Arabidopsis thaliana: one gene and its partners. The protein of the gene in region 1 interacts with the protein of each later gene in a pairwise test. Each region holds a gene or a part of one and is shown in the gene's direction. Other genes may lie near its edges.

What was found.
Region 2: the proteins of AT4G22240 (region 1) and EMB3119 interact in a two-hybrid assay, tested with the Arabidopsis thaliana proteins (one study listed by BioGRID).
Region 3: the proteins of AT4G22240 (region 1) and ATPC1 interact in a two-hybrid assay, tested with the Arabidopsis thaliana proteins (one study listed by BioGRID).

The regions. Positions count from the first base shown.
Region 1 is NC_003075.7:11,763,260-11,771,243, reverse strand, and holds AT4G22240 (Plastid-lipid associated protein PAP / fibrillin family protein), read left to right. Parts: upstream 1-3,821; 5' UTR 3,822-4,016; coding exon 4,017-4,438; intron 4,439-4,558; coding exon 4,559-4,754; intron 4,755-4,839; coding exon 4,840-5,154; 3' UTR 5,155-5,441; downstream 5,442-7,984. Other genes in the region: IM (Alternative oxidase family protein), read left to right, coding at 1-88, 176-284, 376-444, 612-683, 785-832, 1,069-1,277; AT4G22250 (RING/U-box superfamily protein), read left to right, coding at 2,915-3,559; AT4G22235 (defensin-like protein), read right to left, coding at 7,155-7,360, 7,450-7,519. UniProt on the Arabidopsis thaliana protein: Probably involved in light/cold stress-related jasmonate (JA) biosynthesis.
Region 2 is NC_003074.8:1,309,679-1,316,905, forward strand, and holds EMB3119 (Ribose 5-phosphate isomerase, type A protein), read left to right. Parts: upstream 1-3,618; 5' UTR 3,619-3,686; coding exon 3,687-4,517; 3' UTR 4,518-4,610; downstream 4,611-7,227. Other genes in the region: RPSAb (40s ribosomal protein SA B), read right to left, coding at 1-452, 542-804, 1,021-1,168; AT3G04780 (PITH domain protein (DUF1000)), read right to left, coding at 1,769-1,817, 1,958-2,035, 2,129-2,175, 2,271-2,328, 2,418-2,466, 2,637-2,760, 3,032-3,118, 3,297-3,335; TIM23-3 (translocase inner membrane subunit 23-3), read right to left, coding at 4,801-5,367. UniProt on the Arabidopsis thaliana protein: Catalyzes the reversible conversion of ribose-5-phosphate to ribulose 5-phosphate.
Region 3 is NC_003075.7:2,347,881-2,355,465, reverse strand, and holds ATPC1 (ATPase, F1 complex, gamma subunit protein), read left to right. Parts: upstream 1-3,447; 5' UTR 3,448-3,583; coding exon 3,584-4,705; 3' UTR 4,706-4,968; downstream 4,969-7,585. Other genes in the region: AT4G04650 (RNA-directed DNA polymerase (reverse transcriptase)-related family protein), read left to right, coding at 253-1,127, 1,354-1,477. UniProt on the Arabidopsis thaliana protein: Produces ATP from ADP in the presence of a proton gradient across the membrane. The gamma chain is believed to be important in regulating ATPase activity and the flow of protons through the CF(0) complex.

The DNA.
Region 1 (7,984 bases):
GACCTTTGGTTGGTGGAGGAGAGCAGATTATTTGAAAGTACACTTTGCTGAGAGCTGGAATGAAATGCATCACTTGCTCATAATGGAAGTAAGAACCAAAATGTTACTTCTCTACAAGTTTCATACTCTTTACTCACATAGTTAGTAATAGTAAAACAAATGTTTCTAATCACAGGAATTGGGTGGAAATTCTTGGTGGTTTGATCGTTTTCTGGCTCAGCACATAGCAACCTTCTACTACTTCATGACAGTGTTCTTGTATATCTTAAGCCCTAGAATGGCATGTAAGTTTCCTTTCCGCGTAACTTCTAGAAAGTAGCTGAATAAATTGCTTCTGGTCTACATGACTTCGTTAACCTTGTGTCACCTATGCAGATCACTTTTCGGAATGTGTGGAGAGTCATGCATATGAGACTTATGATAAATTTCTCAAGGCCAGTGGAGGTTGGTTACCAATGGTTTTTTCTTCTTTCTCCACCATTCTGTGTACCATTTACATTAGAACTAAAGTTGTTAATGGAGTTATTGCTTTGAAATATTACACAAAATTCTTCAACGATCTTTACATTCTGAATTGTTGTGCTTCATTTTTTTTTGGTTTCCCTAAACAGAGGAGTTGAAGAATATGCCTGCACCGGATATCGCAGTAAAATACTATACGGGAGGTGACTTGTACTTATTTGGTGAGTTTGTCTTTCCAGGAATTATCAATATCCTCCAGAGTTGTAGAGATGTTTTTACCTATGATTAGTAGTCTTTTAAACTGGCCCTGTATTGTCTGCAGATGAGTTCCAAACATCAAGAACTCCCAATACTCGAAGACCAGTAATAGGTAGCAAATCTATTTCATATCCGTTTAGTTCTTTCCATCTCTGATTCCGTCGAACCACAAAATGCTAAAAAAAAGTTTATGATTTATCCATGGTTATGATTCTGCGCTCTATAAATGACTGAGATTCTGTCTTATGTTTGTATGGAGGAAGCATTATTCACAGTTTGTGACTTACTTTGATGTTAAAATAAGAATCTATATAACGTTTTTGTTGTTTTGTGATTACGGTTGGGCAGAAAATCTATACGATGTGTTTGTGAACATAAGAGATGATGAAGCAGAACACTGCAAGACAATGAGAGCTTGTCAGACTCTAGGCAGTCTGCGTTCTCCACACTCCATTTTAGAAGATGATGATACTGAAGAAGAATCAGGGTGTGTTGTTCCTGAGGAGGCTCATTGCGAAGGTATTGTAGACTGCCTCAAGAAATCCATTACAAGTTAATAAATTAGAAAGTAAACTAAAAAAGATTATTTGTATCAGCTCATGAACAATAGATATAATCCCATATACTTGGGAATAAAGGAATAATGTGAAATTCCCATCGTTGTGCTAGTGTGTGAGAGAATCAAATACCCTAATGATGTAAATGTACTTTGATGAGCTTAAGTCGTTGTAGACCATTTTATCCATACTACTAGCCTTTGTGGTTGCATTGTCGGTTTCTTCAATTCTTATTTCACAGGAGTAAAAAAAATGTTTAAAAGTACAAAATCATTGAATGTATCATTCTCTCAAAAAGCATATTGGTATTAGCGTTTAGAATCTCTATATCCCACACTTTTATTTTTATTGGTTTTGTTGGGGAGAGTGTGGCGCAAAGACGACGTCGTCTATGCGAACATTTCACGTGGGAAAAGCCTTGATTCATGCGCCTTCTTTAATTTTTCTTCTTTTTTTTTTTTTTTTTTTGTCTCTTCTTTGCCTTTCACTTTTTAAAATGATTTTCCGCGGGTTTAATAACAAAAATGTTTTCCCGCCAGAAAGGTTTTACCAAAAAACCATGTTCCGGTTATAGCACAGGTAAGAGAATTCATCAGTCTAGTATAATTAGCAGTAATCAAATTCGAATACTTTGATCGTCGCTTTTATTTCAGAGTTAGCGTTACATTAATAGTACCTTTATTCGATTGATGATTTGTTTAATCTTTAATAGGGTTTGAACTCCGATGGAGGACCTTTTTTGTTGGTAATATTCCCTTCGTTTCACAATATAAGTTGTTTTAACTAAAAATACGTATATTAAGAATATTTATTTTTAAAATGTTCAACCAATTATAAAAAAAACTGTAGAATATAAATAATCATAAAGTATTAAAATAATATATAATTTGCATAGAAACTTGAAAACAACTTATATTATAAAACAAAAAATTTGGTATAAAACAACTTATATTATGAAACGGAGGGAGTATAAACTTAAGTACTAATTCGATTTTGTTTCTATTCGAGACCTTGAAGACTTTTTTATTTAATTTTAAAACTAAGTCGTACAGTTACAGAAACAGCATTAAATTTTTCCTCTTAAGTAAATTTATTTTTTCTCTTTCTATCAGAAATTCAGAAGAACTAACATTATAGTTGCCCCCATTGCGTACACTGTACATCATTTCTCGGTAAATTACACATAATTATAAGTTGATTAACCTTTTAAGTTTTAAACAATGATGTAAGTAACTTATTAAAAATTGGTTTTTAAAAATTGAAAGTTATATACTCAAGTTGGAAAAATATTTTACAAATATACTCGATTCCACTACTACTGTAATTTTGTGTGGAATACCAGTCAAACAGAATCGTTATAACTGTTAAAAATTAGTAAAACTGTATAAAGTAATTTTAATTCGCGGGAAATCAATATTCGGAAGCAACTTTAACAAAAAAAATAAAGAAATGTGAAGAGAAAAAAAAAACTCTGAAAACTTCCTTTATAATGTCATCATCACTGCGAGACCCAAAGATCTAAACAGTTTCTCTCTCTCCCTCACAGGGCTCTCTCATGGCGGAGCTAATCTGTCTATTTCACTGGTGATTCTGTTTCACTATCTGAGAATTTGTTTAGAGTTTCCGTTACCGAGTCGATGATGAGTGAACTCGATCTCGGAACGAGTCAGAGGATGACGGAAACACACCGCACGACGACGACGTTTCTTGATTTGCTCCGACGACAGATGAGCGGTCACGATCTCACCAGAAGGAAACGGACGTTAAAAGAACGGTTGAGATTCAAATGCATCGGATGCTGTGGTCCAACCTGGAATCTCCGTCTAACTAACAACACCACTCTTCACAGTCCAACCTCAAGAGACGACGAAATCGAAGAGTTACAAATTGAAACCGGACTCGTTCTCGAATCGGATCATGGATCGGGTACGGGTATGAATCTCGCGACAGCGTTAGAAGCGGAGAGGTATAACCGTGGAGAATCGACGGAGGCGGAGGCAGATATGACGCCGAGGAGAGTTTCGTTGATGAGATTGTTGGAAGAGACGGCGGAGAAAATCGTTGATGACGACGGGAAAGAAACGGAGATATTAACGGCGTCTATTGGGACGTTAACGGGTAATGATTCGGTGTGTTGCGTGTGTATGGGAAGAAAGAAAGGCGCTGCGTTTATTCCATGTGGTCATACTTTTTGCAGAGTGTGCTCTAGAGAATTGTGGCTGAACCGTGGATCGTGTCCTCTTTGTAACCGTCCGATCATTGAGATACTCGATATTTTCTGAAAACGATCGGACGGCTAAAAGTTCTCGATCCACGTGAGTAAGTGAGGTGATCCCTAGATACGTTTCCAAAGTTTTAACTACGGTTTGTGTACTTTGTACGTTTCTTTTGGTTATTGAAGAAGATGATGTAAATGCAAAAAAGAATACAAGAGGTTTTTTGTTCACGAGGCCCATTTAGTCTATTCAAGCCCAGTAAACCGTTATTTTGGATTTTATCTAGCCTAAACAATGCTCGCCTCACACCGTCGAGTGGATTCTTGGCCGTTGATCTTGTCTCTCACGTGGCAGTATCGTAGTCGAATGTACATGATCTATGTGGAATAGTCGATATTATCCCTCTTGGTGTGAGTTTGGTAGTTGATGAAAGCAAAACATTTACGTAACAATGTCTATAAAATCAGTACAGGTCTATTCTTGTTCACTAGCTTCGAAATTTTAGTCGAAGAAACAAAAAAAAATGGCGACGGTACAATTGTCCACCCAATTTAGCTGCCAAACCAGAGTTTCAATCTCACCGAACTCTAAATCTATCTCCAAGCCTCCGTTTCTGGTACCGGTGACCTCAATTATTCACCGCCCGATGATCTCCACCGGAGGAATCGCTGTTTCCCCCCGTAGAGTTTTCAAAGTCCGAGCCACAGATACGGGAGAGATAGGATCAGCTCTATTGGCGGCGGAGGAAGCAATTGAAGACGTGGAAGAGACGGAGCGGCTAAAGAGATCGCTCGTGGATTCGTTGTACGGAACAGATCGAGGTTTAAGCGCATCGAGCGAAACCAGAGCTGAAATCGGAGATCTAATCACACAGCTCGAGTCTAAGAACCCTACTCCAGCTCCGACGGAAGCTCTTTTCCTTCTCAACGGCAAATGGATCCTCGCGTAAGTTTTTTTCCGGTGAAAACTTTCTCTTGTAGTCCTGTAGATAGCATCATTCGTAGGATTCTGGATTCAAATGGTAGATCTCGTGCTGCTTTTGATTTGGTTAAACCTCTTTTGCAGCTACACATCGTTCGTGAATTTGTTCCCGTTGCTATCACGAGGAATCGTACCGTTAATAAAAGTCGATGAGATCTCTCAAACCATTGATTCAGATAACTTCACCGTCCAGAACTCTGTTCGTTTCGCTGGTCCTTTAGGTACAAACTCGATTAGCACCAACGCTAAATTCGAAATCCGAAGCCCTAAACGCGTCCAGGTAAATTGACCATTCATCGACCATGATCTGATATCAACATCTTGAAACGTTTTCAGTAATGTTTTGGATTTCATTTTTCTTGCAGATTAAGTTTGAGCAAGGCGTAATTGGGACGCCTCAGCTAACGGATTCTATTGAGATACCGGAATATGTAGAGGTTCTTGGTCAAAAGATTGATCTTAACCCGATCAGAGGGTTACTTACCTCGGTGCAAGACACAGCCTCGTCTGTGGCTAGAACCATATCAAGCCAACCACCGTTGAAATTCTCTTTGCCGGCGGACAATGCGCAGTCTTGGCTACTCACGACTTATCTAGACAAAGACATTCGGATCTCTAGAGGAGACGGTGGAAGTGTCTTTGTGCTTATCAAAGAAGGAAGCCCTCTCTTGAATCCTTGAACTTGGTCAAAATATATGTCTCTCTCTTGTCGTTGTGTTAAGTGAGACAAATATATAGTGTGGTTGTAGGTTTACTTCTTAATCGTTGTTATTAACTCGATGATAAGGAATATAATGTTTTTAACTACTACAGAACATCTCGTCTATGGCCTATGAAATGTGTCTCAGATTTTCACAAAATTCAAGTGTTTTAGAATTTCATTCTCTTCTGTTTGATTTAGAAAGTAAACTATGTACCGATGCAAGAGTTACATGAGAATTATCCCGGCAACGTCGGGTCTTTCGATAAGAATCGAGATGATGACTGTCATTTTGTTGTCTAATTGGTTCACTCTGTGCTTGATGCCTATCATTTTTTTTTTGAGGGACTCAGTCACTGGAAATGGTTCTATTAGTATGGTATGGGATACTTGTTAGTATAGTACTCGAGGTTTCTAGCATATGCCATAGAGTTTCTCAATATCTGAAGCCCTATTTTGAATGTGTTTGTTCTTTCTGTAATTTATTTAGAGACCATCAGGTAAAGGAAAAACTCAATTCAGACAAGAACATAAGAAACCTAAATTGACCAAATTTCTCATATAACTGAAAGTTTGAAACTGTGTTTTGTTATGTACAGTTTGGTGGAGGGTTTGATGCGGAGAGCATGAATCAGAGCCAAAACTGAAAGTGGAGGAGACAATAATAATGATAACAATGAAGAATAATCTGTAAACTGAGTTTTATTACTTTCTTTTTCTTCTATGTCTCTCTTTATCATTGTAGCACATATTTGCTATATAGGATTTGAATGGTTGCAACGGTTAAGGCGGACAAATTCGTTTGCGGTTTGAACTGTTTTTTATTTATCATTCATATTTGTATAGGTGCGAATTTAAAAAAGAAAAAAAAAACCACTGCAGATTAACTACGGACTGTTTTTACATACAAATATAATTAGTTCGTAACGGTTTATTGCCCATTTTAAAAATAGAGCGGACTAAATCGCTGACGTATTTGTCCGCTCTAACTACCGTTAGTAATAATATAGTTTGTTGTCAAAAATACATTCTTTTGTTTAGGTTTGCAGATGATTTTTTTTATTTTCTATTACTATATTTTAGTCTTTTAGATGATAAATTCGCAATAAATTTGTAATCTGCCAAACTACTGAAAAAAGAGAAAATAATTGTGGTTTGTCTTAAAAGTCACTTGTTTTAAGACATATCATGTGCAGCCATGCAAAGTGTATCTCCCGAATCTTCTTCACTCATTAATGTTTTACAGTATTTTTATAAATTTTATCATGTTAAGTACAAAATAAAAATAAGAATGGTCCATTAGAATTACAGCATATAACAACAAGGACTAGTTCTCTTTTGTAATTTTGTAATTTTATGCAAACGTATAAAAGAAAAATAATCGTGTTTTATTTTTGGAAAGGAATTAAGTATTTCTGCCACCACCTAACAAACAGGGTCCATTTCTTGGGTCTAAAACTTTTCACGGTCAAACAAGATATACATTGATTACTATTATTGTATTCGTATTATCTAAAACACTATCATAATAATAGTAACTTTCATCATCCGACCTTCTTCGTATAATAATTTAAATAAATTTATGGATCTAAGACTAAGATGACAACCACTAAAAAAAGCAACTATAGTCCATATATATCAGACTACTTTTGGCATTTTATCAGTATATGACACCTAAAAATTACAAAAATTATAACGAACACAAACGTAACACAATACATGTCTACATCATTACGTATTTGTGTTTGAATTTTTTTTTATAAAAAAAAAACTGAAAAAGTTTAAAGTGAAGGAACAAAGAAACAAAACAACGACACAATTTAGACAGCTAGTTTTATTGCAAAAGCCAAAGCTTTATTTTGATACCCCCAAAGTAGAAGGCAAACACTCAAACATGGATGTGAGATGAAATCATAAACATGCAAATAGCAAAACACACAGACACACAAATTAAGTGACGTCGTTTTCTATCATCTGCAATCACATGCTTTCCTTTTCAGCACCGCTCTTTGCAGCATCATAATCACGGCAGCACCAACATATCCCTTGACCACCACCAACATTTAAGCATTCGCCTCCATGATACTTGCTGTCCACTGCCCTGCATGGTACATCGCAAGTAGAGATCGTGTCCGCGAGTCTACATAAACCCTTTCGTAAGTCACACTTTCCCCATCCATTCACTTCTGTATGATCCATACAAAGAGACAATATTTCATAAACATGTATTTATTTTAGATCTTTGGATCAAAATATTTTGGTCTTTTTTACGTACCTATAGGAGATATGAGGAGGATGGAGAGACAAACGACTATTGCAAATGTGCTCAGCTTTAAGCTCCCCATTACTTGCTGATCTCTTAGTTCTTCTTAGCTTCTTTCTTTTTTAGCAATAGTTAGTTGGGAGAGAGCTTAACCAAACATGCAATTTTATTGTATTCTATATGTAAACTCGCACGCTAGCAACTGCGACCCGTAATATACGGTTAGCGACTTCGATCAGATTTTACTATATATTGTTCGTTTTACTATTGCTGTAACTGGTCGTCGTTTAGGTTGTTCGTTTTACTGTCGTGTGACTAGCTGTTACGACTTCATTGACATATGTTTTCTTAAATCAAATTCTTAAAATTTATATATAGTTGTAAATTGTATAACTAATTTCACTCCGATCCGGTTCCCGAGAAGATTTTCAAATCTCAGATCTGGATGCATGGAGGAGATATTTTAAAAATAGTTGGATTATTATACTTCTTTGTAAGTCGTTCCATTCACTATTTCCTTTTAGATGCGATCAGATATTTATTATAC
Region 2 (7,227 bases), on another chromosome or scaffold:
GCCAACTGCAGGTGCAGCAGAAATTGGCTGTTCGACTTCACCAGACCATGCAGCATCAGATATTTGAGCAGTGGTCCACTGGTCACCACCAACCATTCCATAATCGGCCTGTACTTCAGCTTCTTCATCACCCTCTTGCTTTGCTTCTTCGGGCTCCCTGTAGAAAAACAGATCCACCTACACAACAGAAACAAGTCAAGATCTTTGTCTGGTGTTGGAGAAACACAAGTCCTGATAGTATTTCTAGAGTTTACCATGACATCCCATTTCTGAGCTGCGAGAATGGTTCCACGCATTTGGAGAACCATACGAGCCAAAAGCCAGAACAAGCAACCAATGCTGTGTTTTCCCTTGTTGTTAGCAGGAATACCAATGTCGACAAATCCCATTGGAGAATCCGTGTCACAGAAGGCAATAGTTGGAATGTTTCCCAAAGCACCTTCCTTGATTGGCTGGCAAACACAAACCAAAACCGCATTAGCAAAACCAAAAACCTACACAGTTAAATCACAACTGATGAGGTAAAACACATTCAATATACCTGATGGTCGGTTCTTGGGTCGGTGAGAATCAACAACCTAGGCTCACTGAAAGAAGTCTGCATTTGGTTAGTGAAAGTACCAGGAGTGTGTCTTCCAGCAATCGCATTAACACCAGTGTACTGAGCAAACTTCAAGACAGCTCTTTGTCCATAAGGCCTGGCTGATTGAACAATTATGTCTTTTGGGTTTTCGATTGCTACAATAACCCTAGCAGCCATCTGAAGCTTGTCCCATGTCTTTCCAAGATTGATTATGTAAATACCTGACCAAATAAAAAAAAATCCAAACTTCATAAACAAAAAAAAGATCCAAAAACATCACAAAACTCTATGAAACCGAGAATTACAGATGAATACCCAACACTATGGAAACTGGAGAAACTATCAATTCGTAAGCTACGTGTAGATGAATGTGGAAACGTTGCTTCTATATAGAATTACATGTACAATGAAATTTGGATGAAGATGAGATAGTTTACCGTCGTCGCGTCTTTTGAAGACATAACGCTCCATCTGATAGTTGCAGTTTTTGGTACCAAGGTGAACATCGGCTGATAACATCATCTGGATATCAGCTTCTTTCTCTGATACCTGACGTCCCGCCGTCGCTACTCCGTTCGCCGCCATTTTCGTTTTTTCGCTCTGTTTCTTTCTCTTCTTTCGAAACCCCTAAAGAGTGTTTCGCTTAAGAATTAAGATACTCCGGAAAACCCTAAATGGGCTTTCAAGCCCAAAACCAAAAAATGATATAGCCCAAAACCAAAAATTAATTAATTGTTTTCAGACAAAGAAAGAAAATAATCCCAATAAAAATGCTCAGTAAGATTTTTAATCCTAATTCCAAATTTCTAATAGTTATTATAAATCAAGATTTCATATTGGATCTATGTTTAATTAAGAGTTTAAGACTAATAACTATTTGATGCCTAGTTCTATCATTATTCATATTTTACTTGTGTAATAACTGCCTCATAAATAAACGCCCTTTTCCCCCTCAAGAATATGAACACACAAAGATAAAAGTTGAGTCCTGCCCAAACTGTTAAGAATTGCAAGATGATTTTCAAATTGACTTATCCTTCGTTTCGAATTCCTGCGAATAGGCAATCACAAGTTCTGGTCTATTTTAATTCAAAAAAAAGTAAGTAAAAAACAAACGATGAAACGCAATAGAACACTAGAAATCAAACTGATATACGATCATATGATTAAAACACTTTTGTATGCTCAGTGATCTTCAATCTTTTTCAATCCCTTCATATCAGTCGTCTCCACCCTGTTATTTGCACAGAATGGTGTAAAGATCAATAAATTTGCAAGTTAAAGATTTCAGAAATATGAAAAGCTAAGAACAAAATTCTCTTTAGGCAGAGTATCTTTGTAACAGACTTGTACAGAAAGATTTCAGAGACTTACGTTGAGCCATAGAGAGCAATCTTCTGAACCTTGGTGACCTCAGAACCTGATTGGTTGGCTTCGATGAAGATCGTCAAGCTTGAATTAAATAGATATCGTTAGAACGAGCTGTGATTGCGCTTAATATTATAATATATATATACAAAGACACAGAACATGGTAAATCCTTACCTACGAACATTCTGAAACTTTACGTACTTTAGGACCACCGGTTTTCCCTGTAAATGGATTTGAACAGAGGTCTCAATACAGATAGATAGATCACCAGAATATGTCACAAAATGAATAAAGTCAGATTTCAGAAAGATCATACCTTAAGGTTTTCTTCAGTTAGTTCAGCGGTGTCGCTTGGAGGAAAATCATTGACATTGCTGTTTTATTCATTAGACACGATGTGAGTCGGCGCTTTTATCGAGATAAATCATATTGTTAGGTAGAAATTAGAAACGATTCACATTACCTGAAGCACATGTGCTCTTTGTTTGAGAAAAACTTTACAGTTTTAGGACCTGAAGAAAAGTTAGAATCAAACAAAGTTAAAATCTCACTGGCTAACAAGTAACAGCCCCCACATATCAAAATCCCATCTCCAGTTCAGTAAAAAGAAGTAATTCTTGTAGGCAAGACTAAAATAACAAACAACTATATGCTTATCTTTCAATATAGAACATCAATTTACCTTCCTCTTCAGGGCCTTTGATAGCAAAGGAATGTAGTTTGATAACTTGGTTAAAAGGAATATAGATGAGAAGTTGTTCATCAGCATCACTCTCTAAGTTTAAACCTTCATCTTCTCTATATCCCTACACGAACAAGTAAATCCTTCTCAGGTCATAAAACACCAATAGAAACAGGTAATCATAAATTCAAAAGCAGGCTGGCACGCAATATCACTCCACGAAAACCTAAGTTTGTACTCAATTATCTATATCAAATCTCATAAACTCACACATAAGTTTTTTACAGATAGACAATCATAGCAAACACAAACAGTTTCAAGAACTCACCAATAACAAAAACTTGTATACAGACATACAACTACATAAAGATATGGAACATAAGAGAATAACAAACCTGCTTGAGAGCATTGGGCAAAGAGTGACTTGAGCTTTGGTTAAGACATTCAACACCAGACCAGTCAATAAAATCTAGTAGATCAACCTGATAATCAAACACAACAACCAAAACTTAGATAGAATCGATTAACTATATAGACACATCAGAAAACTTCAAATCAAGATTCGAACAACAGATAAGAACCCTAGATAATCTTCCCACCCAAGAATTGAATTCCTCATTGAAGAAAACCATCGAAACCAACAAAGTTTCGTTAACTAACCTGTCCCTTAGGAATTTGGCTAGCTGATTCGGCGGACATCGCGAGTTTTTTTTTTTTTCTTCCTTTGAAAGAAATCTCAAAGATCGAGAAAGTGGAAGAAAATAATTAGACTCTCCACGAAACCAAACCAAAAAAGGTTTTTATATAACTCTGTTCTCAAAGAAACAAAAACGACATCGTATATTTAACACTCTGATTGGTTTAGCAGGTTATTATCTTCACCAACCCAAATACAACAACCTTAAAACTAGTATTCCAATACTACCCTCAAACCAACTACAAAACTCTATAACTTGCCACTAAACCTTCCTCTTCCACTCAAAAGTCAAAAACCAAACCTTTCGATTTCATTTTATTTCTTCTCCAACCATTCTCAATCCTCTCTCTCCAATGGCTTCCTTATCCTTCGTTTCCTCTTCTCACCTTACGCTACGCACTCCTTCTATTGCCCTACGCAGCACTGGCTCTTCTCCTCGAACCTCCGTTTCATTCTCCGTCAAGGCTCAATCCGTCGCGCTTTCACAGGACGATTTGAAGAAGCTCGCGGCGGAGAAAGCTGTGGAGGCAATTAAACCTGGGATGGTTCTAGGGCTCGGAACCGGATCCACCGCAGCTTTCGCTGTTGATCAGATCGGGAAACTACTCTCTTCCGGTGAACTCTACGATATTGTCGGTATCCCAACGTCGAAACGAACGGAGGAACAAGCACGGTCGTTAGGGATTCCTCTTGTTGGGTTAGATACACATCCGAGAATCGATCTCGCTATTGACGGAGCAGACGAGGTAGATCCGAATCTTGATTTAGTCAAAGGTCGTGGAGGTGCTCTTCTCCGTGAGAAAATGGTGGAAGCTGTGGCTGACAAGTTTATTGTTGTGGCTGATGATACCAAACTCGTTACAGGACTCGGTGGAAGTGGATTAGCTATGCCGGTGGAAGTTGTTCAATTCTGCTGGAACTTTAATTTGATTAGATTGCAAGACCTCTTCAAGGAATTTGGATGTGAATCAAAGCTTAGAGTTGATGGTGATGGCAAGCCTTATGTGACTGATAACAGTAATTACATTATTGATTTGTATTTTAAGACTCCTTTGAAGGATGGATTCGCTGCGGCTAAAGAGATTGGGAAGTTTCAAGGAGTGGTGGAGCATGGTCTGTTTCTCGGAATGGCTACTTCTGTCATTATCGCTGGAAAGAATGGCGTTGAAGTTATGACCAAGTGAGGTTAAAAGTTCAATCTTTCTCTTCTTCTTTGATTGACAAATTTTTCTCCTTTGTAAAATTATCAATTGAGTTTTTATGTGAGATCATTTCAATTTCGTGAATTCGACAAAATCAGCAAAAAGTTGAGTCGGATTGAGCAATTAGATCAATAAAAATGTCAACTTTTATACAGTGGAAATTGAATTCATAAGCCCTAAATCCAGTACCAATGATTCACTATCTAAAAGCCCCTCCTTTAAACTAGTTCTTAAACCCTAACCTTGAGAGATTGAGAAACTTTCATTAGATTGGAACGAATCGCTTGACGATGCGTCTTCCAGCAACTGCAGCCAAAGCCGCAACTCCTCCGACAGCTCCGGCAACCACAGCGGATCTAGGTCCAGAAGCAGCTCTGTAAAGCACACCAGTGGCTAAACCAGCGATCACAGTTGTCAACGAACCGTCGTCTCCGTCTCTCATATACGTAACACCGCTCTCCATAGCAGCAAACATCAACCCTACGGATCCTAAGCAATTCCCGCCGCGTCTTGCAACGAGTCCACCGGAGTTCAAAATCCGATTAGTTCGGATCTTTAGGGATTCGCCTCGTTCGGCGGCTCGCATCCCCGCAATTGTACCCTTGAAGGCTCCGAGAACAGATCCAGTGCAATAACCCCAACCGGTGAAGAAGGTGAGGTTCTCTCCCCATGTTAAGCGTTTTTTCGTAGCTTCTTCTTCGAAGAGAAACTCAGGAGAAGTTGGGAGTTCGTAGAGCTTACGGTACGGAAGATTGACTTGTTGGTAAGGATTGTACTGACGGTACTTCTGCTGTTGTTGATGCCCGGTGCTATGGTTCATCGGATCCGCCATTATCAGGGCTTCTGCGTTTCTGCTTTAGGCTTAGGGTTTAAGGATGAATCGTGAGGGTTTATAACTTTCAAGTCAAGAGCAGCAAAAGGAATAACTTCGGGGACAATCCGAAATTTTTTATCTTTTATTTTTAAAACTGTTGGGCTTTAAATTCTAATCTTGGGCTTTTTGGGCCCTCTTGTTGTACTAGAACTTTTGTTCCGATCTTTTAATGAATCACTGATCACTCCATTAACAACAACACAATGGAATTTTGTTTTGCTAAAGGTTAAAAGAATTTTTTGTTTCTAAAACAAAAACTATGTAGGTCAATTAATTTTCTTTTAGCAACCGGTAGAACTAAAGAGGTCAAAGTCAGAATTTTCTCAGATAAAGACCTAACATGTTAGTTACAAATAGTCTCATTCCTATTGTTGGTAATGTAAACAAGTTATCTTTCTTTAGTTATAGTACATTTTGGGAAAATGAAAGATTAATCGATATAAAAAACAAACAATGACTACATAAGAAAAGGAGTGCTATTCTATCTATATCTTTAGTTTCAAAATTCTATAATACGACCACGGTGAAAAGACAAGACGAGGATATAGCCACAAGTTGATGGGATTGAACAATGAACATCCCTGCAATATGATTGCACATTTCTAAGGTACAAAGTAGTGGATTTGAACATCTCTCTATAATTTGGTGACCTTTTATAAAAAGAAAAATAGATTTCACGTTGACATGGTTACTATAATTTAATATGCTCACGCGGTTTGCCTTTGCCCTAAACTACTAAAGGTCTCATAAATTGTTTCATGGACAAGGCGATGGTATAAGTGGGTGTGAAGTAAGACGAAAAAACTTAACAAAACCTATAACGAAAATAATAAAGATGAATAAATTATAAATAATTAATTAGAAATATTCGTCTGTAACGATTTTATATTGGTCAATGGTAATGAATAATGTACATAAACATGTATTAGTCTATTACATTTGTAATTAAACATTATTCTCGGCCAATGAGCTTGAGAGACAAAATCTTTCGAAATGTTGTTGGGTGGCCACTATGTTATATGTTAATGTATCGAGTATCGACACCAGTAAAGTTTATATTTTTGTGCATAAAGTTAATGATAGGTATGTCTATTTCAGAGTCATTTAGCTGAACTAAACTGAATTATTAATAGAGAACGATCTAAAAAGAGTAGAAAACTGAGTTTCGTTGGAATTAAAATATTTCGTTTTTTTTGGATATAAATAATAATTCGGTTTTCATTTTCAAAAAAATCGAATAAAACTGTAATTGAACCAAATGTATACTAGTACAATTTAAAAATCTCGGACAACGCTATACACATAACTACATGCCTGTAATACTAATACATACCTACTAATCTCAAAGAAATGACACAACACATGAGTGGATTAGATGGATAAGTATTATTCTTTCCCATAATTATTTAAATCGATAAGACTTTAAACCGTGAGATTGACACTGCCGAAGAATTATTTGTCCATGAGAATGACAGTTTAGAAAATTCATAACGATCCATAACAATAAATATATTAATCACAATGCTTACCTATGTTTAATGTAAATGAGTGGATCTAAGCATCAAACTATTATTCCAAATTTTGTTTTCGCCTATACAATAATCAATAATCATTCAAAACGTTGTTCATAGAAGCAACCATTTCTTCCTAAAGCAAGCAAACGTTGTTCATACAAATTGCATTATTAGTTTAAAGAAGACTTTAGGTCGTAATTCATAAACAAAGATGCTCGACGATGATGATGGTACTCTTGCTTCTGGACATCGTATTTAGTGAGATTGCTAGACAACATATATTTCAAGACAAACAAAACAATCC
Region 3 (7,585 bases), 9.4 Mb from region 1:
AATGTAGCCAAAGCTGATTATTGGTGCAGCCACATTCAATCTTTTATGAACTAAAACAAATATAAATTTTTTCTTTTTGGTTCCTCGCATTTTAATAAAACTCTTTAATGAACTACTTCATTATTTGTCTTATTTTCTATTTTAACTCCACAATTACAGGATTCGACTCCACTTATGTGAAGAACCTTTCCTCTCATGTAGAGGACGAAGATGTCCTTGAAGGTGTTGAAATGATATCCAAGATGGTGGAAGATGTGTAAGCTCAGAGTTGTGGCAAGGCCCTTTATTGTTTGTGAGGTTGGTTCCGGGGTCACCGCTAAGTTTTGGCATGATAATTGGATTGGCCTTGGCCCCCTTATAGAGGTAATCGGTCCTCTAGGCCCTCGTACAGTTGGTTTGCCTATTGATGCTGTGGTTAGGGATGCGTTAAGGGGCACGTCTTGGTGGATTGCATCAAGCCGTAGCAGGAATCCAATCATTGTTCAGCTTAAAAATCTTCTCCCGGAGGCTCAGGGTTTGCTTGACTGTCAGCATGACGACTCCTTTCTTTGGAAAACGGACCTTCATGCACCATCAAACAGATTCTCCGCTCCAAGAACTTGGTCTGCTCTGCATCCGCAATCTCACACCGTCCCCTGGCATAAGGCGGTCTGGTTTAAGAACCATGTTCCTAAGCACGCCTTCATTTGTTGGGTTGTGGCGTGGAATAGATTGCACACAAGGGATAGGCTTCAGAATTGGGGTCTCTCGATCCCTGCTGAGTGTCTTCTTTGCAATGCTCATGACGATTCGAGAGCACATCTCTTCTTTGAGTGCCAGTTTAGTGGTGTCGTGTGGAGGTTTTTTACAGCCTCAACCAACCTTAATCCTCCTGCCCAATTAATGGACTGTCTTAACTGGCTCTTATCTCCCTCAAGGGAAAAAAATATTTGTCTCATTATCAGGCTGGCCTTTCACTCTTGTGTTTATGCAATTTGGAGAGAAAGAAACCAACGTCTCCACTCCGGCGTCTCTCGTTCTACTGAGTCTATCTTGAAGGACATCCAGCTCATCATTCGCGCTCGTCTGGATCCTTTGTCTCGCAGCACGGCTCATCAACCTAACGCTTTGTCCTTGCTAGGAACTTGGTTTTCGTTGTTCTAGTTCAGGGCTGTTTGTTTTGGTTTTCTAGTGTTGCAGGTTTCGTCTCCCCTTTTGTTTGTTGCAGGAAAAGGTTTGTTTTCTCCTGTGTTGGGCATGTGGCCTTTATTTGGGCTTTTGCCATTGTATGTTTTAAAGTTGAATGGAAATTTATGAACTAAAAAAAAAAAAAAAAAAAATGGTGGAAGATGCCCAAAAAGTTGGTAGCTATAGTGAACCAGAAATAACCGTCTATAAAGCACCCGAAATTGAAGTTAAATTGGATAACTTTAATGAAAAGACTGATATCTATAGTTTCGGGATTGTTTTTTTGAGTTTGGCGCTATTTTGGATCTGACATGGAGAGGGCTCGTACCTTACATAAATACCACCACCACCACCCCCCCCCCCCCTTTCAATAGCTATTGTTGTTTTAGATATATTGATACATCAATGTTTTGTTGTCTAAGTAAGGTATTTGCATTTTGGATTTCGATTCAGGACATTCTGGTTAGGCACGGTTTTGATTCATTTCATAATCGACTTGACACAAATTGCGTGGATGGTGCCGATTTTGTGACCTAAATACTAACATCAAATTTTGTGACCTAAAAGAAGTCTTATATATTTTGAAAGTTGCATTATCATCATTCCATTTCAAAGAAATAAAAAAGAAAGAAAATAAAATAATCAAACCCTTAAAAGAACTTACTCATTTCTTGCATATTACATATGAGTAGCAATTTGTATTGCCTTTCCACTAAGGATCTACCTCTTTTAGGCAACTGAAAATGTTGAATTTGATGGATCATAATCTTCATTGTACTTAGGGTGGTCAACTCATTTTAAAGTCAGTTCTGGTGTGATGTGTAATCTTTGTTTGGTTGGGCTTTTATAACTCGAGCAACGAGTTCATATTAATACGGTGCAGATTTTACATAGATTGTTACTATAACCCTAAATCCAATAAGGTGTATGACTCAACATGTTCAGCATCCTTAATGTTCTATTATTTGAAATGGTGGACGAGTATGCAATAATTGACGGAAAGAATAATGAGCTTTACTTCATGTAAGCATCAAAGATTCATAGGTCGATTTGATCCTTAAGAGATGAATAGAATGTCACTAGATTGTTGGTGATTAATAAAGATGATATTAGTTTGTACAAATCCATGAGAAACTGAGCGTACGTAATAATATGTTTGGTGATGAAAATAAAACAAAACAAATAAAACTAAGAACTTGTTTATAGCAAGAGGTTGGGAATTTTTGTGGTTTCTGTGTGATTTCGGTATGTTCTTGTAACAATAAGCATATTCCAAAATATGTATCCGGATGTAGTTGAAGATACAATAATATATAATTTTAACCAAAAAGAAAACTACAATTTTCATGATAAAATTAATATTTTATTGATTTTAATATATAAACATCTTATAATTAATTTAATGAATAAAATTTTATAAATTTTTATATCTATAATTTAGTTAATTCTTATTATATGTTTATTATTTCGTTCTAATTTCTAACCAAATATTAGTTTTTAATATTTGTTTTGATCTGTAGAATTATTTTATCGGAATTTTTGGAATAAATCGAAGCAATTAACAAATGAAACCATTGTTGTTAGTTGTTACACTATATGATTTTTTCGTTATAACCAAATATTTGTTTTTCTCTATAAAGTTTTGCTTATCAAAAAAATTTTGGAGAAAATTGAAGCAATTAACAAATTAAACCAGATTAAAAAATATATATATATACATATATATATATATCATTTTAAGTCTCTTGTAAGGTAATTTGATTGGTATATATATATACTAATGGACCAAAACCATACCAAAGAAATTAAACCAAACCTAATTACTCTAATTTCTATCCTTTGTCAGATATTTTCTCTCGTTGGGGTCAAAAACTCATAAAATAAAAAAGCAATTAACAAATCAAACCAGATTACAAATTATATATATATATATATATATATATATATATATATCATTTTAAGTCTATTGTAAGGTAATTTGATTGGTATATATATATACTAATGGACCAAAACCATACCAAAGAAATTAAACCAAACCTAATTACTCTAATTTCTATCCTTTGTCAGATATTTTCTCTCTTTGGGGTCAAAACTCATAAAATAAAAAAGCAATTATTGGTTGGCTGATAAACAATTACAAAGAAGTAAGATATATACCACACACCCCAAAAAAAAAAAACATTGAAGATATCGAACCATCCACTAATACAACGCCACGTCAACAAAAAGAGGATCCCACAATTTGCAGACTCCAAATAGCAAATGTAAAACCTTATCTCCAAACCTAATCTCATCACCTTCTCTTCCCTCCACTCAAATCTCTCCTCTCTTCTTTCTTCTTCTTCAATACAATACAATCAAAAGAACAGAGAGATAAGGTTAGAGCAAAACACTGTCTGAAACAAACAACAAAAAAATGGCTTGCTCTAATCTAACAACAATGTGGGTTTCATCAAAACCATCTCTTTCTGCTGATTCATCTTCCTTATCATTCCGATCTGTTCTCAAGTGCCCAACTAACACTTCCTCACCTCCTTCACGAGCTTCCTCTGTTTCACCACTCCAAGCGTCTCTTCGTGAGCTCAGAGACCGTATCGATTCAGTCAAAAACACTCAAAAGATCACCGAAGCTATGAAGCTTGTCGCTGCAGCTAAAGTCAGGAGAGCTCAAGAAGCTGTTGTCAATGGACGACCATTCTCAGAAACCCTAGTTGAAGTTCTTTACAACATCAACGAACAGCTTCAAACCGATGATGTCGATGTTCCCTTAACCAAAGTCAGACCGGTTAAGAAAGTAGCTCTCGTTGTCGTCACCGGTGATCGTGGATTATGTGGTGGATTCAACAATTTCATCATTAAGAAAGCAGAGGCAAGAATCAAAGAGCTTAAAGGTCTAGGTCTTGAATACACAGTCATTAGCGTGGGCAAGAAGGGAAATTCTTATTTCCTCCGTCGCCCGTACATCCCCGTCGACAAATACCTAGAAGCCGGAACTTTACCTACGGCTAAAGAAGCTCAAGCTGTGGCTGATGATGTCTTCTCTCTGTTTATAAGTGAAGAAGTCGACAAAGTCGAGCTCTTGTACACAAAGTTTGTCTCTTTGGTCAAATCAGAACCCGTGATCCACACGCTACTGCCTTTATCACCTAAAGGAGAGATCTGTGACATTAATGGAACCTGTGTGGATGCTGCGGAAGATGAGTTTTTCAGGTTAACGACAAAAGAAGGGAAATTGACAGTTGAAAGAGAGACTTTTAGGACACCAACAGCTGATTTCTCGCCGATCTTGCAATTCGAGCAAGACCCTGTTCAGATTCTTGATGCTTTGTTGCCTCTGTATCTTAACAGTCAGATTCTTAGGGCATTACAGGAGTCATTGGCTAGTGAGCTTGCAGCTAGAATGAGTGCAATGAGTAGTGCTTCGGATAATGCATCGGATCTCAAGAAATCGCTTTCGATGGTGTATAATAGAAAGCGTCAAGCTAAGATTACTGGAGAGATTCTTGAGATTGTTGCTGGAGCTAATGCACAGGTTTGATTTGTTTTGAACCCTCTTTGAATCTTCTATATGAGTCCAAAACTCTCTTCTTCTTCTTTTTTTTTCGTTATCGTTTGTATAATGTATAATTGATAATCTCTAGAACTCTTTATAATCATGCAATTACAAACAAAAACGCGGTTGTATCTATTTTGGCTTTTCATTGGATAAAATGATGGAGATCTTCGTTGAATATTTGTGGATGATGAAGAGTTTTTGTAGGATCCTTTGGAGGAATAAGATTTTGGTTTCTTTGGTTGTTAGTTGTGAATCCTTTTCCATTGTTGTTATGACTAAGGATCTTAGTTAGGGACAACATTGAATCCTTTTGTTCACCCCATCTTTCAAGATTTCATAAGACTTTTTTGAATACCTCTGACTGGATTTGGTAGTCTTTAAATGTACATCGGAAGATACAAGTCTCGAGTCGTGACTAACCAACACAGCTGCTCCTTTGAACCAACTTAGTGAATTCCCCAAGGCAGTTATAGTTGGCTTGTCCAAGTGATTAGTTGGCTCGTCAACAAAGCAAAATGTGTGGGTTGGACATTGAGATGGAGGCTAACACAACCTTAGCCTTTTGTCCTTCAAACAATCGTGAAAATGAAGTGTAATGGTGTTGACTTGGGAGACCAAACCTGATCAGTTTCAAACGCACCGCATCAAGTTTAATATATTTCCTTTGGTCTTGGGTGAGGAGGATAAAGATCTAGGAAGAATATATCCAAGTGGGCTTCTCCACAAAAGAGTACCTTCCGATCCTCAGGTTCTGGCTTATTCTCACTTCACCCACAGTAACTAAATCTCCCGCAAGAACATTCAAAACAGTAACTAAATCTCCCGCAAGAACATTCAAAAGACTAGACTTTGCAGTTCCGTGAAACCCAAGTATCGCTACTCGTGTCCCCGCAACTATACGTACGTCCAATTTTTGAGAGCCTCAATTATGGCGTATTAACGCTTACCTCAATCAACTGAAGAAGGGGACGTGGGAGCTCCGTTGGTGCTGTAAAACCGAGCTCCAACCTATAAAAAAAAAACCTCACGTCGTCACTTGGAACTTGTAGTGTTGCCATCGAATTACCATGTATCTAAAAAACACAAAAAAAAAAGTTAAGAATTTTGTTTCCTATCTTCTTCAATTGCATATCCAACAAGACATTATTTAGTTTGTTTGTTTGTTCACCGCAGGCGGCAGCGGCAGCGGGAAACTCTACCGCAGATTGTTATTCGTTTCGTCGCCACTGCCGCTGACGCAACATTTATGTTCGTTTGGATGCCGCCGACGCTGCCGCTGCCGCAAGTATCTATGTTCGTTTCGCCGCCGCTGCGTTAGTTTTAACTTAATTCTTATTTTCTTAATATAAATTTGTATTATAATTATATTTGAATAAAAAAAATGTAATCTAAATATAGTTACATCCATAACATTTTTTATTTAACTAGTTATAATTTTTAGTTTTCTTTTGTAATTATAACGATAAAAATTTGTGAAAAATCATAAGCATAATTATAACAATAAAGTAGTACACCAAGTTATAAGCAAAAAAGATAGACAAAATCGTTAACTAAAATAATAAACCAAGTCACTAAAAAAAACATATCTAATAAGGTAAGCGACCTTTATTACATTCGTTCGTGATGTTGTTACGTAAAGCTTCCATCGCTCTGTCACCAATAGGCTTATATGCAACATGTTCTTCTCCTTCTTCTTCTTCTCCTTCTTCTTCTTCTTCTTCTTCTTCTTCTCCCTCTCCTTCTTCTTCTTCTCCTTCTTCTTCTTCTTCTTCTTCTTCATCATCAACATGATATTCTTCTATGCTTTGCCACTATAAAAAATCATGATCTTCCCGATGTGAATCCCTTATAAAATTGTGTAGTGCCATTGTCGCTGTTACAATCTTTATCCACTTAGTCAGACCATATTTTGGATGCTTACGATCTAAAATCCTCCATTTTGCTTTTCATACTCCAAATGTCCTCTCAATCACAGATCGCAAACCTGAATGCTTTCGGTTGAACAACTCTCGTGCAGTTACTGGTGGTCCTCCTCTACCAAACTGACCAAGATGATATCGCATCCTACGATGTGGACCAAGATACCCAGTCCTGGTGGGATATCCGAAGTCAACAAGATAATACTTCCCATTAGGCGGATGTGGGAAATAGGTTCATTCGTCGCACAATAATTCAAAACCTTTGTATCATGTGCTCTACCAGGTACACCGACATATGCATATATGAATTTCATATCGAAATTACATATAGCAAGAACATTCATTGTAGGTTCTAGCTTTCTACCTTTATATTTTTCTGCAGTTTGACTTGGAGGGCGAACCGGGACATGAGTTCCATCAAGTGCTCCAACACAATCTCTAAAAAAAGGCCAATATCGATCATCATTCTTCAAAACAGGGTTTACTCTTGTAAACTCACCTTCTTGTGGCTTTAATGTATCCGCTGCAAACTTTAATAGAGCACTCAGAACATCATCAATCTTTCTTTTCACTGTATCCAATGACCGTTGATATCTTGCAGCAATATCTCGAACAGTCTTATCCTAGCCAACCACCTCGAGAAACATGGCAACAGATTCCTCAAGGTAAACATTTTCAGACTCTTCTAATCCATATTTCCTAGTTAGCATCTTACATAAAGTTTCAAATGTTCTTTGGTTCATTCAGAGAATGTCATAACATTGTTGATCTGATCCATGCATAAGTTGTTGAACATGACACCAACCTGCTCCTCAATCTGTTCTATGATTTAATCTCTCCCTAGCTAGTAAGTGAATCAAGCAAACCATCATCATCACCATCATCATCATCATCATCACCCAACATCCATCTTCTAACCATCTGCAAAAAAAGTAACTCCCAA